Linked DNA regions of Drosophila melanogaster. The protein of the gene in region 4 interacts with the protein of the main gene of each other region in a pairwise test. Each region holds a gene or a part of one and is shown on either strand. Other genes may lie near its edges. The genes, in order: CG15169, inv, Pdhb and eIF2Bbeta.

Region 1 (3,706 bases), on a different chromosome or scaffold from region 4:
TCCAAATCTGTTGGAATTTTAGTAGAACATCCTCTGACAACGCGGCTTAGTCTGCGAAAGCTGAAGCAGTACTTATCCTCTTGCTCACCCAACAGAACATCCTGCTGGCATTCCTCGTATAAGCTAACATTGCACCTGCCGGTGTTGACCTGAAAGAGATCTATCTTGCAACCCCGGCCGATTGCTGAATCGCAGGTGGCGCAGACTTGGGTCCAAGCTCCTTGCTCCTCATTGCAGCCATTGATCTCACACAGTTGGGCGGAAGTGGACAGCGTGTGATTCTGCTCGGAGGTACAACCTCTGTAGGCATCTGAAGAACTTATGACATCCGTGTAGCACTGATCCTCTTCCAAATGATAGCGACAGGGTTTTGGTTTGGATGCTGGAGCTGCCACGCATTCCTGTCCAGCGCAATGATGGCACTTAAGTCGTCCCGGCGGATAGACACCCGCATTGCACAGGTTCGTTGAGCAAGTCTTTGAGTAAGTCGCTCCGATGATGGGGGTTTCTGCTCCGCAGCCGCGGTATGTAATGGAGTCCACTAATTTGTGTGCGATTAATGGTATAGAAAATCGGAGTTACTAAATATTTCAAATATGTATCAATCAATATCAATGGTCTTTACCTTTGAAATATTAATGAATTGCAAAAATAGATTCTATAAAATGGCCGACTATCCGTCGATTTAGAAACAATTACAAATCACATTTAGGTTCACTTACCAATGGACATGGCACACGTCAGCTCGGTAGCGCACTCCTTGTAGGGAAGAACTCCCACTTCTCCGAGGGTCTGGGAACATTCCGGCAGGGCAATGGAATCGCAGTGGTAGCAAACAATGCCAAAACAACGGTCTGCTATTAAAAAAAAAAACCCCTCTAAGGTTACAACGCATTTTTCCGTGGGAAATCGCAGGTAGCTCACATCTCAGGAGGACCAGGAAAAGGAGGAGCAGGTGGTGGAAGCTTGAGTGGCGATTTGTCTGCAGTCCACGCATTTTGACAGCTCATAAAGAATGTAGTGCACCTTTGTTTGCAAAATTGGAATCCCTAATCTGTTTATGACTTATCAGACAATATAACAATGAGTTGATATAGGCGAACTGTTGATAAGGATAAGCTGGAAAAAGCCATTTAACTTTAAAATAACCAAACATTATCATTTAAATAAAAAGTTACACTCGCTAAATGTGTTCTTAAATTGCCACCATAAAAAACTTACGTTGGTAGAAATTCTTCAATTATTTTAAGGCTTAAAATAGAGAGTTGCTTGATGTCCTAACGAAATCCTTTCGATATAGATAATTTCCCAACCACAGTTGTAAGGTTACCCAACTTTATTCCGGCATATGCATAATGGCCAAAAATGTCATGACCATAATGTGCTCTGTGCCTTGACCCCATTATCGGAGTGTCCCATAGGTTCCATCGAAACGTTCACATCATCAATAATTTAAGGGCTCGCATTTGTTGCGGGAAAGTCTGGAGCTACTCAAAAGTGTGGGTCAAGGGTCCGGCGACCGCCCCAACATATCGATTTAATTTAGAGACCGGATAATTGCGTGACAATCAGCGGATTCGAGTACACATACCACATGTCCAGGCGGCTTAATGACCATCGACCTCAGTTGCCAGCTAAACAGGCACGGGACAAGTCGGGAATAACAAACCCATCGGTGGCCAGAACGGAGCAAATACCCATGCTTGCAGAGCTCTTCAAAACGGGGATAAACCGATAACGAAAGATACATTCTGATAAGCCCATCCACTCGGCGGGTTCCGTTCAAGATTCATTCGCCATCCGAGTCATACACTCTGCGAAGCTACAACCGATCGGTGACCACGATGCGGATGAGATTGCTGGTCATTTGGATTTCCCTAACTGCTCTCCTTGAATGGAGCAGGGCGCAGGAGGACAACATTGAAGAGTTCAGCTTAAGCGGCGGACTAGCGGGTGAAAAGTCAGAAAACTCAGGCATTGAAGCCGGTGAAAATGACACAGAATCCCTAGGACAAAGTCACTTATTTTTGAACACAACACAAAGTCCAACTGATGACCCTGAGCCTACACAGGAACTGTCATCTATTGAAAGTCAAGTTGGACAGGTAGGCCACCAGTCTGGAGAGGATGAGAAGGAACCGGAAATCACAAGCTTAGACACTAATTCGGAAACGGATAACAAATTAGAAGGGGACAAAGAAGAGCCAGAAAAGGAATCCACCGGGAATTCCGGTGGCTTTGCGCCAACTCAAGTTCCTCAAACCGACAAAGTAGACCAATCGTCCGGACATATGGATACTTCGGACTCGTCTTCAGACTCTTCAGTGACTCCCGATACTCGCCCATCAACTTCACTAGAGGAGGTCCTGGAAACTCACCCAACAAACAAAACTGAGGAACCAATGGGAGGATCGCCCGATTACCCGGCTGATGGGCCCCAGGAGGACACCACAACTCCACCCCCAGAAGAAACAACCTTGGCACCACACAAGCCCCCAGTTGCAGATCCAGAACAGAAACCCCTAAGCTGCTATTCCTGCATGTTCTGCAACAAAACGATCACCAATGAAACAAAGTCAAACTGCGGCCCGATACCTGGCAAAAGGAATGGATGTCGCACCATACTGCTCAACGATCCCAATGTCGTTCCGGGGAAGAAGTACTTCCTGCATCGGGGCTGTGTATCCGAGTTAGATATGGAGCTATCTCGCTATTGCGCCGAGAATGAGAAGCTGTGTCCCACGTGCTACGAGGACAATTGTAATGTTCACAACATGACTGAATATGAAGTCACTCCGGGCTCTGCAGCAGTCACCCATCATCCGGGGGTGCTATTCCTTATCTGGAGCATCGGTTTGGTTAGCTGGCAGGTGGCTTTTTAAAAATCCACCCACGCTATTCTGAGTCATAACAATTAAAAAGTAAATGGAGATTGGCATACTTAAAAATCGATAGGTATGACTAATACTGAAAATCGCAGATTATATCGCTGTCTGTCTAGATAAATTAGTTTATCTATGAAATACATAAGCCCAATTAATATAAATTTCTGTTACGAAACTTAATCTATTTGCAGCGCGTGGGGATTTTCGTTTTCTTTCTTAAATAGTGAAATATACTGTACTTAATATGCAAATGTATATAAAATAAAGCATTTCAAGGCGAAACATTTGATTGAGAACATAACTAGTACTTATATTACAAGATAATTATTGTTCAGCAGCTGCTTAATGGATCAGGGATACTGGGAACGGTTTTTAAATTTGGTCCCTTGAGTACGTTTCCTGAAACCATATCATTTAGAGGATATAAAATGGCTCAACAGAACCTAGACTGCAGTTGGCTAAGTCATCGAAGCGTGTCTATAAGCACGGATCAGCGGAACCAAAATTGAATATATCTAGAAATTAAATACGTTTTGTTTAAGAATGTGTCTGCTTTCCAATAATATTATTCTACTTACTATACTGTCAGTCCTCGAAGTCCAGGGACTTTACCAGCAGCAAACAAGTACAGTGTTACCCACCGTAAAGTCCACTATGAGCTCAGACCATACCACCGGAATGGAGGAAAGTTCGTCACCTGTCGAGGAAACAACAACGCTTTCTCCGCCTATAAGATGCCTCAGTTGTAAATTTTGCTCACCCAATGAGGGGAAAACCAGAACTAGGAAGGGCAAAAAGATGTGCCACATAAAGTTAGGCGA
Region 2 (4,938 bases), on a different chromosome or scaffold from region 4:
TTGGGAATCAGGTAGTTAGAAGGGACGACTTTTGATGGATGAATTACAATTATTTACTGATATTTCAACGTTACTTTCTTCAAGCTGGTGTATTAAGATCTATAAAACGTGTGGATAATTGGCTAAAAACTGTCGTAAGTGCTTAAACAGCTGAGCTCGGCAATCTTACAAATTGCATTCAATGATACTTAATAAAGCAATTAAATTTAACTAGTTAAAGATAAAGTAACTCTCGTAATTATATGCCCATTTAAGGCTGATATTGTAATTGAATAATGCTATTGTCAACTACTCTGTTGAACACCAAAGTTTAGTAAGGTCTTAAACGTTTTAATATTGTGTTATAATATCAAGTATCTGTGATAAAATGCATTCAGTCTATTGAGTAAACCTTTGGCAATTCATTACCGATAATAAACTAGCTGAGCAAGCTAATAAAGGTAAACACCTTAACCAAATGACTGCCATCAAGTGGCTTAAATCACTCTCCATTCGCCACTTGAACCACATGATCCATGGACTTACCCGAGATTCCAGGGGATTAGCCAAAAACTATCAAGGAATCCGAATTGCTTGTTCAAACAGCAATAAGCCACCCCATAAATGAGCATATGGGGCACTCCCACCCATCCGATTCCCCCCCAAATTTCAGCCATGAAATTATTAGGCAAACGATTACGAATTCCCTGCGGTGGCATAAACTAAATTCATGAGAGTGCCATGATTGCTGGGAGATTGTTTTGGGGTTGTTCTCGACGGGTTGGGGTGGTGCTGCACACACAAAAACACACACGGGGTGGGTGGGGTGTAGCGGCATAATGAGCTTAAGTTATGTTACATAAGCCATAAGGACATGAAAACCACTCGAGCAGACACTTCACTTCGGGGTGAGTGTTCGCCTCCCTTTCGCTCGCACTCACTTCATTTCGGTGGTTGGCAAACTAATGAGCTGTGGGTTGCTGTGGTTTGGCTCCGTTCGCCGGCTCTTCTGTGGTGTCTGTCGCTTGTTTGCACAACCGCTTTATGAGCCACCACTCAACAGCTCGTCTCCTCGAGTGTGTTTGAGTTTGGAGAAAGAGTGAGTGACTAGCAGTGCACTGCTTTAGCATAAGATGTAAGATGCTTTAGAAAATGCAGGAAATATCCATAGAAACATATGCAAGTAAATAAATTTTGCCAGGATCTACTACAGAATATCTATAATAATACTGGCATGGTGCTGGAGAATCGTATGTTAACGAGAAAACTTGAAACCAAAGGCTTTTCTTTCAAGCTTATGAAGATTAGTATTCAAAACACCAAAACGTAATTTCATAAACTATATTTGCATTCACAAAGTTCATAAAAAGTACGTTAAACGTAGAAATATACAATATTATTTCATCAATATTTGTACTTATGTTTCGCTAGACAACTTAGATAACTGAAGCAAAATTTTTAAAGAGACTTGGACTCACCTGAGCTGGGACGATCGCTGTAGCGGGTGCAGTAGACCCACGCTGGCCAAACGATGGGAGTGCCGGAATCCTCGCCCGATTTACCGGATGCTCCTGTGGCACCCGCTCCTGCCGCTGGCGGTGGCGACTTGACCAGATCCACTGGTGCCCCCGAGGTGTTCGTCGTGCTGCTGCTGGTGGCGGTGCTATTGGAATCGTTGCTGTTGCTGCATATATTCGCCAGCGAGCTGGAGAAGCTCAAGCTCGAGTTGGCGGCGGCGTTACTTTGAGCCAGATTCAGTGGCTTTCCCGACTTCTTGGGCGCCTTTAGGGGAGATCTGTTGCCATTGGTATTTCCAGAATTTTTACTGCTGCCAGTACTGCTCCCACTTACACTGCCACCACCGATATTGCCACTTAAAGCACCAATCTTGGGCAATCTGGAACCAAAGTCCGCCTTCAGGATATTGTCTATGCTGAATTTGAGCGCCCTTTCGTGCAGATTTTCATTGTTATTCAGGTGATTCTGCATGTGATGATGGTGGTGGACCTGATCCCTTTGCAGTAGCAATTGCTGATGGGGATGCACCGCTCCACCGGGTCCCAGACCCAATGCCGTGGCCGTCAGCTGAGCCAGTGCATCCTGACCGCTGGGCACTGTGGCAACCGCCGCCGCCGCCATTGCCATTTGCAGCTGTTTTCCCGCCGCCGCTGCCGTGAGAGCGTTCACCCTGGCGGCGGCCATTAGATGCATCTGCTGTTTCATCAGCTCCTCGGCGTACAGCTGGGACTTTCGCAGGAACTCCTCCTGGAAGGTTCCAGTGGAGGGAGGCAGTTGCAGGAGATCTTCGGGTGAGAAGGGCGGACCTTCGCTGGGCGGCAAAACAGTGGTAGCAGTGCTGCTGAATGCCGACGGTCGATAGATTTGGCTGATCAAAAGCCTCTGCCTGGCCTGAGCTTGAGCGGATAGCGCAGCCTGTGCTGCTTCCGATTGTTCCTGGCCCACACTCAAGACACTATTCTCACTGCAGCAGCTGGCCGGATCCTCCAGGTCCAAATCGTGCTCCTCCTCGACCTCTTCATCCTCTATGTTCAGCTGCTCCTCGCACTCCGTCTGCTCGTCCTCCTCCTCCTCCCGCACTTGGGGCGAGTTGCCCGGCTGGACAAGCGGCAAGGGCAAGCAATCCGGATGCATTTTACCTACTTCCTGGCCACCTCCGCCCGCTCTCCTCTCCTGCGCGTGGTCCTCTGCCTCCTCTAAGGAAGGAATAGTCAGCTTGAGCGGGGGCGGTCGAGTGCTGGCCAAGGTGGACATCAGTTTGAGGGCTTAGGTCTTCAGCTCGAAAGTTCACAGGGACCAAAAGCCGACGGCATTTCAGGGCAGCCAGAAAGCATTAAAAACATTAACCACAGCCAAAAGATATCACTTGGATTGGCAAATACGCCGCGCTATCGTCTTCGATTGACAATTGGTTTTTGGGTTGGGTGATAAACTTGTCGATACCGACGTTAATCCGCTCGTCCGTTAAAAACGTAACGTGCGCTGTTACGAACCGCCGACCAACTGATTCTCTCGCGAACTGAATAGCAAAGCGAGACGGCTGCAGCTGAGAGCCGATTCAAAAAGAGAACTCTCTCTCGCACACGCTCTCTCTCACTCTCCGTCCTGCTCTGGCTTTTCGAACATCCAATCAGCGGCTGCGGGGCGTGCCCTACTGTTGTCCCGCTCGCGCACACGGTCAGCCGCCTGTCAGTTGAGGTTATGTTAAGTGTTTGTATATTTGTTAATTAAGTGCGTCGTCGCCGCAAAAAGAAAAAAGCGAAAAAGAAGGAAAATAGGGATAAGAACTCCACTCCATTTCCATCTGCGCCTTGTCGTTTTGATTATGCGCTGCAGCATTTAAGTCGTAAATCTCACTCTATGTAGGCTGCTCTCGCCCTCCTCCTCCATCATCATCACTTCACTCCCCCTTTCTTTCGCTCCTCTTTGCGGTCTGGCATCTGCAGTCCTTTTTTGCTGGCATCCTATCCGCCGTCCAGCATTATATACCCACACACACATATGGAGTGTGTGCCTGTTTATATACAACACATGCCACAGCTTCCCCGTCTCCTTCACTCCTTCGCTTCCTTTTACTTATTGTTCTTGTTGCTCCGATACAACGAACATTTTTGCGCTTTTTGATGTCATTGTTGTTGTTAGCTGCGCTTTATAAATCACCACCACAATTTTTGTTGCCCCAACATCTGCCGTGATTTCATAATTGCTTTTGATGCTTTTTTGTCGCCGTTTTATTGTTTGTTGTCGTTTTGCCTTCACACATCCCATCGGACAACATTGATGATAGTTCTGCGTAAATGAATACCAATACGTGTGCAATTGCATACGCTTAATCATGGGCGTAGATTCAAAAGCACTGGGGGGATAATGATCAGCTTGCTGGGTTTCTACTGAACACCTTGTCCGGCATTTAAAGACCTCTTAGTAATGCCAAAATAATTGTAATTTAAATTTGGTCCCACAAGCTAATCAATCTGATATCAATAAAAAAATCAAACTTTGATATTCATGATTACTTACATAAGACATTATTTTTAGAATTTAAGTCACTTCGTTCATGTACTATGGAAATTATCCTCCATTCCTGACCAATTTAAGTAGCCCCTTCTCCCGCCAATGAAAATTTGACATACGTTTGCTTGGGCTTGTCTAATTGGCGAACATACTGCATTGTTGCTGTGCTTTGTGCTCATAAATCTGTATTTAGCTTTCCTTTCAAGTATTTGAGACATTTTTGTGTGTGTCATGTGTGGGGTGAAAACGAGTTTGCCTTGTTTGAAGTGAGGTTGTGCAGGGCATGCCGATCACTCTTTTAATTAAATCAGAAAACTTTGTTGTAGTCCACGAAAAGATTTCTAGGAATGGCTGCATTCATTTGCATCATTTGCTGCGGACCTCTTTAGTGACACAGCCGAAATCGGTTAATGTATCATATTTCATATCTGAAATCGACTATCAAAGTTGCACCTTTTCTCCGTTATCGCCGACAGATTGGACATAAAATATCGGAATTCCAGCGATCTTTTTATCGCTGCTGTTGAACCCATAAAGCCCGAATCATGGAGTTTTTCGGGCTGTCCGCGCTTTATTATCGCTTCGAATCGTATTGGTGGAACCACGCCCCGAAATGCAAAGCAATCCAAGCCAGTTTAATAACTTTGTTGCACCATTACAAAGAAGCCAATGCCAGATGCCGACACTGCGATAGTATAAGCACCGACAAACGAATTAATCAGGCTTAATTTCCAGCCCTCGACAAAAGAAACAATTATACGCAGTATGATTAGGAAAAGGAATGGAGTACAAGAAAATAGTTTCATACAGTCGAGCTTCTGTCACTTAACCCTTACCATTTATTTGCCTAAAGACCCGAACATTACCTAATACAGTATAATTCGCTTAGCTGCCTCGAGTACTTTGCACAATGCCTCGATGCAGGTA
Region 3 (5,572 bases), on a different chromosome or scaffold from region 4:
CAGCCTTGGCCAGAAACATTGTATCGCCGCTCAGGTGATATGCAGACAGCAGTCCGCCTAGGACACGTATGGTGACCTCGAATAGGTTTACATCGCGCTTGGTATCAAAGCGCAGTGATTGCTCTACCCAGTCGCGTCCTTCCTTGAATTCTGTGTAGATGTTATTGAGAAAAATAAGGAAAGTATTTCCATAAACTAATGATTTTGTGCACATTAGGATATAGGCAACTTACCATCATCCAGTCCCATTATGTACATGGTATCCAATGAGTCAACAATGGTTAGTCCCAGACCGAACCACTCGTGGGAGTACTGGGAGATGGGCTTCAGGTTGTCGTGGCCCCAGGCATACTTCTTGTAGCCAGCCCAGGAGTGCTTGAAGGCGGCTACAACAGCCGACTGTCTTTCGTTGGTGGCGCCATGGAAGTGCTGGCCCTTGGCCAGAATGGGCTTGATCTTTTTGAGATGCTCTTTGAAGCTAACGCCGCCCAGAGTGAGTGGGTTCTTGATGGCTTGCTCAAGCTGCTCGCCCTCGCTAAGCGGCTCTGCTGGATCCTGGGCGACGGGCTCCTCTACATTGTTTAGGATGTCGATTCCACCGATGTCCTGCTCCTTGTTACTATCGGGGGGAGGCAAGGCCACGGCCATGGCCGAGGCCTGGGGAAGTCCTTCAGCAGCCACCGTCTCCGGCAGACGGGCCACGTTCTCCGCTGAGTTCGCTTCTCCATAGGCAACTAGCTCATTAAACTGAAATTGATTGATATTGAGATATCATTAATAGATTTTACTGGAAGTGTGCTGCGTGGGCAATAAATCAAACACCAATAGTCAATCGTATTGATACGCATGCTATCTTAATAGGCAAACAACTCCAGCCACTTAGGCACTTATCAATTAAGTGGGGGGCCTACTTACCTTATCACTAACCGCCTCCACCCGGGGTGCTCTCTTATCGGCCGGAACAGGTACCGCAGCAGTGTCTTTGGGCACATCCTTATCCACCCCCGGATGATGGTGCGGATTGGGCAGGGGCATTTGATATGCTGCCACCTCGGCCTTGGTGTCCACATCCTTTAAGCTGGCAGCCAGCAGCTGATCGCCACTTAGGCAGAGCAACACTGTCACGCAGAATCCGGTGATGCCCAGAATAATGAGATTGCGCTGACAACGCGGTAGCTGATTCCAAGCCTGAACCGTGAGACAAAAGATCGTACTTATAAGTTCTGGGTTTCTTGAGGATGTCCCAGGACCCCAGCAACTGGACTTCTGCCAGGTTGCTACCTACCCGACGCAGGCTCTTCCTGCCCCGCTCGTCCGTCGTCGCCGCTGATCCCGGCGGGAGTGTGAGCGTTATGTGACCGCCGTCCTTCATAGTGTTTCACTAAATGCCGCCGCCGGAATTCAGAGTGTGGGAAAGTTGGATGGGAAATTCCACAGCATTCGCCTCGAATAAAAATCGATTGCTGTGCGCCGCTGGCCGCGGAGGAATCGGAGCTAACTAACCAAGGTTGGTCCAACTACTACCTCTTTTATGCCTTAATCATCTCTATACGTGCCAGTGCATTAATTTATATATGCTAGTTCTGGCCCACACTATGCAAAATTACAAATAAGAAATTCTAAAATTATTTCACGAGAGCTGCATTTTTGAGCTGCAATGCTGCCAACTTGTTCTTCAACAGTCCGGCCAAAACTAAAGATGGGGCTAGCAATCATTTACTTTTGAAATACCTCTTAAATAAAAAAAAAGCAAATTAAATTATATTTTAGATATTATCACTACTTTATAAAAGAATTTTTCTAAAGAATATATATTAATACGAAGTGGCTAATTTTTTCGAAAATCCAGCTAACACAGTATGAATTTAGCCAAATCTAGAGTGGCCAACACTAGTCCCACTTAACAGTGATTTATTTGGCAGCCCTGGTAAGCTCCAAGTGTGCCCACAATACGGCATTAAAGTGGTCACATCTGGTCACATCCCATTTTCACATCAAAATTTCGACGGAAGTCGGTGCGTAAACCCATAGCCCATTTTTAGTTAGATAATAGCACTTAAAACCCAAAAAATAACACCTACAGCCGGCAACGATAGCGATAGACCCATAGGAAAGCGAACCGCAAACCGACGATGCTCCGAACCCGACTCATCCAGGCGGCCAGCTCCGCCCAGCGAGCGTTCTCCACCAGCCAGAAGGCCCTGGCGGCCAAGCAGATGACCGTGCGAGATGCCCTCAACAGCGCATTGGACGATGAGCTGGCCCGCGACGACCGCGTCTTCATCCTGGGCGAGGAGGTGGCCCAGTACGACGGTGCTTACAAGGTGAGATCTGCGACTTTTCCTGCCCCTGCGCGATTACGTAAACAGCAAGCAGGCGGTTGCGACGACGACAGCTGATGCAGGTGGCCGGGATGGGGGAAGTTGGTGGTCAGCGGGGTGATATATGCGTGCTATATGTAACTACTGATAGTGATTCCGAACAGGTCGACGCGAATCCGAATGCGTGATCGGAGTGGGCAAGGTCACGCAGAATATGTGTGACCGACTGTCTGCTGATTATATAGATTGGCCCATAAAACAACGATTTGTTTACCCATTTGAGGTGGATTGATAACCGGCGTTAGCAATTCTATCCTATTAGATTCATTTAAACTATGATTGTGGCTACTGGTGTAACAACTAGATAGGACACGCAAAGTACAATACAATTACCTGTTAGAATAATGGTATTTCCTGAAGAAATCTTAGTTAATGAGTTATCAGCTTGGAAAGTTTTACAAACAGATAAAAGGTTCCCATCCTGAATAAGCCCTACATATTTTTCTGGTATCCTAACATTCTATTAATCATTTAATGCCCTTTTTAGGTTTCCCGTGGACTGTGGAAGAAGTACGGCGACAAGCGCGTCATCGACACGCCAATCACAGAGATGGGCTTTGCCGGCATCGCTGTTGGCGCTGCCATGGCCGGTCTGCGTCCCGTGTGCGAGTTCATGACCTGGAACTTCTCCATGCAGGCCATCGATCACGTGAGTTGCCTCATCCTTGTCCTAAGAACCACTCCCCGCACTCCAGCAGTAGGCTAACTACTCATATTATCTCATTGCCAACAAAACGTAAACCAAAAGAAAGAACACGACAATCCAATACAAATGCCTCACAACTCCAACAGCTAGCAAATAGACCAATTCAAGTGCAATATGCAGCGGCGCTTAATGGGATAATATGGGTGGATTAGCTCCTGCCCCAAGTCATAGATCGGACCTCACTAATCCCCACCCATATTATCCGATTATGTGCAGGCAAAGATACTCGATTGCGCCAAGCCGCCAGTCGGTGATCGCCCTCTGCCAATAAGCCTCATAATTGAAAGTCCACGCTCAACTTGGCTGAATGAGATCAACGACATCCTGCACAGAGATCGAGTCGGCGAGGTGATTGCGCCGCCGCTGGACAAGAGCAAGTCGGACAAGATGGAGGCGGCCCGCCTCATCGTCATTCGGCGGCGCAAGATGAAGAAGCACAAGCTAAAGAAGCTGCGTCGCAAGATGAAGTTCGAGTGGGCCAAGGTGCGCCAGCGCCGCGAGATGCGCAAAGAGAAGGCCTTCCAAGCAAAGCTGATATCCCAGATCAAGCAGGCGGAGGCATTCAGTGCGGAGCAGCACGTGGCGGAGATCCTGCGGCAGGCCAACGAGACGCCGCTGCCGCGTTTCTGGAAGGGACGCCGCCTGCCGGCATTTATCATTAAGCAGAAACTAGGCATTAAGTAAAGATCAAGACGGAACAGAAAGGAGTGCATCAAATAAAGCGTATTAACTTGAATTGGCGAATTTGCAGTTTGATGGAACAGGCATCCACACTGAGCATTATTTTCATTCATTTTTCACTTTATTATTTCTAAGTCATATTACACATTCATAATAATATGGATTGCTAAAATATATCCCTTTAAAATTTCAAATCTTAGATCATCAACTCGGCGGCCAAGACCTTCTACATGTCTGCCGGTGCCGTCAATGTGCCCATTGTGTTCCGTGGTCCCAATGGAGCCGCTTCCGGTGTTGCCGCCCAGCACTCTCAGTGCTTCGCCGCCTGGTACGCCCACTGCCCCGGCCTGAAGGTCCTTTCGCCATACGATGCCGAGGATGCCCGCGGACTGTTGAAGTCCGCAATCCGTGATCCCGATCCAGTGGTCTTCCTGGAGAATGAGCTGGTCTATGGCACGGCATTCCCTGTGGCCGATAACGTGGCCGACAAGGACTTCTTGGTGCCCATCGGCAAGGCCAAGGTAATGCGGCCGGGCAAGGACATTACCCTGGTGGCGCATTCCAAGGCGGTGGAGACATCGCTTCTGGCAGCTGCCGAGCTGGCCAAGAAGGGTACGGCACTGTTTTACTTTGAATGACGCGAAAAGTAGCTAACCTTCTCTTATATGTTTAGGTATTGAGGCTGAGGTCATTAACCTGCGCTCCATTCGTCCTCTGGACACGGCGACCATCTTCGCCTCTGTACGAAAGACCCACCATCTGGTGACCGTGGAGAACGGCTGGCCCCAACACGGTGAGTGGGAAATTCAGCTAATTGAAAGCCTAGCGATATTTATAAATTTTTACCCTCTTAGGCGTTGGAGCTGAGATCTGCGCCCGCATAATGGAGGACCAGACCTTCTTCGAGCTGGACGCCCCCGTATGGCGCTGCGCCGGCGTGGATGTGCCCATGCCCTATGCCAAGACGCTGGAGGCCCACGCCCTGCCCCGCGTTCAGGATCTCGTGGAGGCGACTCTTAAGGTCTTGGGTGGCAAAGTGGGCAAGGCCGCTGCGGCCAACAAGTAGGAACTCAGGACTAGCCAGCCTCCCGATCGGAACCCCCAGCTAACTAAATTTATAGTCCAAGTCGAAACGCTGCCTCTGGTCTAACCGAGCTGCCCCCATAATAGTGCACCGAACTGGAAATTGAATGTTCTGAAAATAAAGCACTACCGCTTTCGGGTTTTGATTAGTTTTCGGACGTTCTAGTTTAATTATTTGGTTATAGAAATCTCTTGTGAAAAATAAACGAAAACATAAATACATTTTGAGTGCTTATATTTTGGTATAGTTAATGATATAATATCAGAAGATAAAAAATATATAATTCTTATCGTTAATGATTGAAGTTTAAAAAGTGCGCGCACCGATGAAAACGTTTTCCTATTGAACGCTGTCCAACACTGACGACATCTATTTTTTCGATATCAGCCTATCGTTTAGCAATAGGTGTCCTCATATCGATAGCGATAATAGCAAAGTTAACAATAACAAAAGATATAACATAACAAATAATTGCAATGCTTTGGCTGTAATGGCAAACAGCTCCAGCTCCGACGAAAGCTGCAAGGCCCCCGACAACTTTCGCATCTCGAGCGCCTCCACAAACGGCGAGGACGAGGAATCAGATGTCGCAGGATACACAACAAAGCGCAGGCCAACGGCAGCGACGAAGGAACTGTTGAAGGATGCGAACGCCAAGGATAGGAACGCCACCACGGGAATGGGTGCCCACATGCGGTGCCCACTGTGCCACAGCTGCAG
Region 4 (3,944 bases):
GCAATCAATCAATCAAATATATGTACATATATACTAATAAGTCCAAGTATCGCTGTTCGGGTTTTCAAATAAGTCCGGTTAACTTACACACAGAGTCACCAAAGCAATAACCAAAGTTTAATGGCAAAATGTAAACCCATATGTAATTCAAGAATGCCAACCAAACCTCCTTGAGCTATCGCGGTAGAAGTTCCCCAACAGTTTTATCAAGCTATTAGGAGCTAAATGCGGAAGTGGCTGCTTATCAGTTTCTTTGGCAGCTTCACATCTACCCGAACGACCATTCCCCGCCTGCCACTGCTCCTACACCACCTTCACCTCCACCTCTTCGACTCGTTTGCTTTTACTGCTGATGTTGCTGCTTGCGTGGACAGACCCACGTCGAGGTTTCGTGGAAGTGGCTCTGGGCAACGAGGTGAATCTGCTAAGCGGTGAACCGGCTTGACCTGCTGAGCCCGACGACCTGTTGGACTTTTGGATAAGCACTCACCCGTGGAGCTGAGGAAGATGTCGCCTGGCCGGGTGCGGGCGTAGCGCATGCTGAGGCCCAGGATGGCATTCTGCAGGGTCAGCGTCAGCAGGCTGATGTACTTCAGCGTATTGGCGTTCACTGTGCGATGGGAATAGGAATACGTGACGGGGGCGGGCAGGAGCGCCATGTCAGTACCGCTGGAGTAACGCCACCGCACTAAAGGCCAAATACTCACTGTGTATGCTATTCATGGTGCTACGCTTCTAGCTCTATTGTCTCAACTCCAAAACCAAATAGAAACCGAAGGCAAACAAAACGCCGTAGTTGGGGGTACACAAAGACTCCGTTCCTGGCCAAGATCAGTTGTCGGCGGGCCGTTCCGTTTGGCAGTTCGTTCCCTTCAAGTTGGCCAGAAAAGCAGAAGAGCGCAAATGAAGACGACTCCACTGGACCGGGCGACACGTAAACAACAATCAGAGCCCGAAGCTTCTGCCAGCGGCGGCTTTTTATCGCCGCCTATGTGGTTGTTGTTGCTGCGCGCCAGGGACGTGGTCCTGGGCTTGCAACGGGGGTCATAAATGCGAAACCTTCTTAATTGAATGCAAACAAAATTTAAAAGTGCATTGTGCATTTCAGTAAAGTAAATACACCTTACATATGCTCCTGGGGGATGGATCCCCATTTTAAAGCAAGCTACGCCCATGGCGTGCAGCTTTTGTTGCTATTTTCGCAGCAGAGACCGACTTTTCGATAGTCACAGTGCTGGCATTGTGGCGGAACTCGCGAAAAAAGAAGTTGCTTGCAAAAAAAGCTAGATATACAATAATCGGGCATTGAGATTGCTTAAATTAATGTATATATTATGACTTTAAAATTAAAATTAAAATTTAACAAGAGAGCATGGGGATCGAAAGTAGAAAACAAGAAAACTCATGGACGAAATACATAAATACATATTGTGCATGCTTGTTCTACATGCACATGTATGTTAAATTTTTAAGCCCAGCGAAATTTATTTTTGCCGCACTAGGTTGGCTATTTACTCAGCTGCCGTTGAAAATACGTCATGAAAGCCAGTATATGCAGACAATTAAAATAAACATAAAACATCAAATTAAGCCAGTGAATGATGAACAACCTGTTGGCGGCACCTGATAATTGCGATGCATCAAATTTACAATACAACATTACAAATATATTGCCATTTGGGGGGATTAAATAAATTAATTTAATCAAATGCAATAAATGAAAACATTAATAATTTCCGTGTTGATTTTAAATCTTTTACTTTTTTGAGTTCATCACTAGAATTCGCTTTCGCCTGCCGCCTATCGATAACATTGCTCGGTGTGGCGATTTCGTAAATAGTTTTCTAACTGAATAATGGTAACAGTTGGCCACTTTAGTTGATAATTCATAATTGCAAAGACCAGAGACGCCAGGACACGATGAAGGAACAGCCGCTAAAGGAGATCACACAGCTCATCCACGCCATCAAAGTGGGGTAAGTCGTCGGTTGGCAGGCACTGCGATTCATTTGGTTGTTAAAGTGGCATATGTTTTGCAGGCTGGTGGAGGGATCCTACAACATAACCAACAAGACGCTGGACATCTTCAAGTACATCATCATGAGCAAGAGCTGGCAGAACGCCGAGTGAGTTGCAAGGGATGGCACACCAAGGATAACACATTAACTGATAAACAACTCCCCCTCATTTGACAGTGCTCTCATGCAGATTGTGCGCGACCAGTGTAAGATCCTGCAGGCAGCTCTGCCCCAGGAGACGGTTACCTCGAACATTGCCAGGCGGATCCTCAAGCTGACTCGCGAGGAGTTCGATCTGTTGCACGCCAAGGTGCAACACTTCGCGGACGACTCACAGGCCTCGCTGTCGCTTCACAAGCTAGTCACGCAGACCAGCGAGAGCAACGTCAGCGTAGATTACTCGGTGCCCCAGCATGGATTGCGGGAAGCGCTGCTCGACCACCTGCAGGAGGTGGAAACGGAGCTGGAGACCAGTTCGGAGAACATCTGCGTCCAGGCCGAGGAGCACATCCATTCGTCGGAGATCATCTTGACACTGGGACACTCGCGCAGCGTCGAGAATTTCCTCAAAAGGGCGATCAAAAAGCGTCAGTTTCTCACCATCATCGTAGCCGAATGTGCGCCAGCCTGCCGGGTTAGTTGGGTCTCTTTATGGGACGACAGTATTTGTGGGGTGTAAGAAAATGCTCTTATGTTGCTTAACAACTGCCTATGTCTTTTACAGGGTCACAATTTGGCCGCCAGCTTGGCCAACGAGAAGAATGTGGAGATTGTTGTGATCCCAGATGCGGCCATCTTCGCTATGATGTCGCGCGTCAACAAGGTAATAATCGGTACGCACAGCGTGCTGGCTAATGGAGGACTCAGAGCGGCGTGTGGAGCGTATACAGTGGCCCTGGCCGCCAAGCATTACTCCGTGCCGGTCATTGTACTGGCGCCCATGTACAAACTCTCACCATTGCATCTGTGCGAGCAGGACGCCTTCAATATGGTCGGCTGTGCGGAGGATGTGATACCCTACGATTCGATTCCAGCGCGCGAAGCCAAGGTATACAGTCCCATGTTCGACTACGTGCCTCCGGAACTGGTCACCCTTTTCATATCCAACACGTAAGTAGTGCGCTTATCGGCCTTTCGACTCTTTTTTATTGCATTTATTGGATTCTTTTTTTACTTAGCGGTGGCCATGCCCCCTCGTATGTGTACCGCCTCCTTACGGAACTGTATCATCCCGAAGATTTGGAGATTTGAAATCGTGTTTGTCTCGTTGTTTTAGCAATTCTACCAATAAAGTCTACAGTAAAGTAGCAAGCCCATTTCGATTTGGATTGATTTAAATGCATCAATTTCGTAGACATTTATAAACTTTAAAATTCAACAATAATTATATCGAATAAGCAATAACGGTGGATCGGTTTTCGATTTAAGAACATTACTACTTTATCTTGGGTTGATATAGTTAATTTCAGGTAGCACGTTTCTCGTAATTTCCCTGCGGCACACGATCCTCAACCTATTTTTGAATATTTTCAAGCAGCTGCGTGAAGTCGGCCAGGCTATCGGCATAGTAATCCGGCTGCGCTTCCACCGGGGCGTTCAGCATGTCCTCCTTTGTTAGGCAGCCGCTAAGTACCAGCAGGGACTGGAAGCCGCAGGCCTTGCCGAACTGCACATCCTGCACCAGTGTGTCCCCGATGAAGATGCAGCGCTTGCAATCACGAATCTCGAACATTTCGCCAAACATTTCGCCCAAAATGGGAGACGGCTTGCCCAGAAACGTGGCCTCGCGTTGCGTGTAGCGTTTAACGTGCTCCAGGAAGTCAAAGAACCCGGCCACATTGAGATTCTCCGCCAGTGGCATGATGACATCGCTGCCGCCGGCTATCAACTGGCAGTCGTCATTCTCCTGAAGGTGCCTAATGGCCT

Evidence for each region.
Region 1: the proteins of eIF2Bbeta (region 4) and CG15169 interact in a two-hybrid assay, tested with the Drosophila melanogaster proteins (one large-scale study listed by BioGRID).
Region 2: the proteins of eIF2Bbeta (region 4) and inv interact in a two-hybrid assay, tested with the Drosophila melanogaster proteins (one large-scale study listed by BioGRID).
Region 3: the proteins of eIF2Bbeta (region 4) and Pdhb interact in a two-hybrid assay, tested with the Drosophila melanogaster proteins (one large-scale study listed by BioGRID).

The regions. Positions count from the first base shown.
Region 1 is NT_033779.5:18,989,231-18,992,936, forward strand, and holds CG15169 (uncharacterized protein), read left to right. Parts: upstream 1-1,789; 5' UTR 1,790-1,844; coding exon 1,845-2,882; 3' UTR 2,883-3,179; downstream 3,180-3,706. Other genes in the region: CG15170 (uncharacterized protein), read right to left, coding at 1-541, 723-857, 925-997; CG46465 (uncharacterized protein), read left to right, coding at 3,429-3,706.
Region 2 is NT_033778.4:11,473,789-11,478,726, reverse strand, and holds the start of inv (invected), read right to left. Parts: upstream 3,020-4,938; 5' UTR 2,752-3,019; coding exon 1,458-2,751; intron 1-1,457. UniProt on the Drosophila melanogaster protein: Engrailed (en) and invected (inv) are functionally redundant transcription factors in neuronal precursor cell NB5-3 specification.
Region 3 is NT_033777.3:29,111,126-29,116,697, forward strand, and holds Pdhb (pyruvate dehydrogenase E1 beta subunit), read left to right. Parts: upstream 1-1,945; 5' UTR 1,946-2,015; exon of another isoform or gene 2,016-2,083; 5' UTR 2,084-2,132; coding exon 2,133-2,324; intron 2,325-2,868; coding exon 2,869-3,030; intron 3,031-3,303; coding exon of another isoform or gene 3,304-3,771; exon of another isoform or gene 3,772-3,821; intron 3,822-3,968; coding exon 3,969-4,380; intron 4,381-4,441; coding exon 4,442-4,561; intron 4,562-4,622; coding exon 4,623-4,834; 3' UTR 4,835-5,072; downstream 5,073-5,572. Other genes in the region: alpha-Man-Ib (alpha-Mannosidase class I b), read right to left, coding at 1-150, 234-747, 916-1,188, 1,286-1,372; Atg14 (Autophagy-related 14), read left to right, coding at 5,343-5,572. UniProt on the Drosophila melanogaster protein: The pyruvate dehydrogenase complex catalyzes the overall conversion of pyruvate to acetyl-CoA and CO(2). Might play a role in regulating synapse structure formation at neuromuscular junctions. Might play a role in maintenance of mitochondrial morphology.
Region 4 is NC_004354.4:2,702,798-2,706,741, forward strand, and holds eIF2Bbeta (eukaryotic translation initiation factor 2B subunit beta), read left to right. Parts: upstream 1-1,773; 5' UTR 1,774-1,920; coding exon 1,921-1,976; intron 1,977-2,039; coding exon 2,040-2,126; intron 2,127-2,195; coding exon 2,196-2,652; intron 2,653-2,742; coding exon 2,743-3,128; intron 3,129-3,196; coding exon 3,197-3,269; 3' UTR 3,270-3,420; downstream 3,421-3,944. Other genes in the region: Ugalt (UDP-galactose transporter), read right to left, coding at 491-659; CG2680 (uncharacterized protein), read right to left, coding at 3,532-3,944.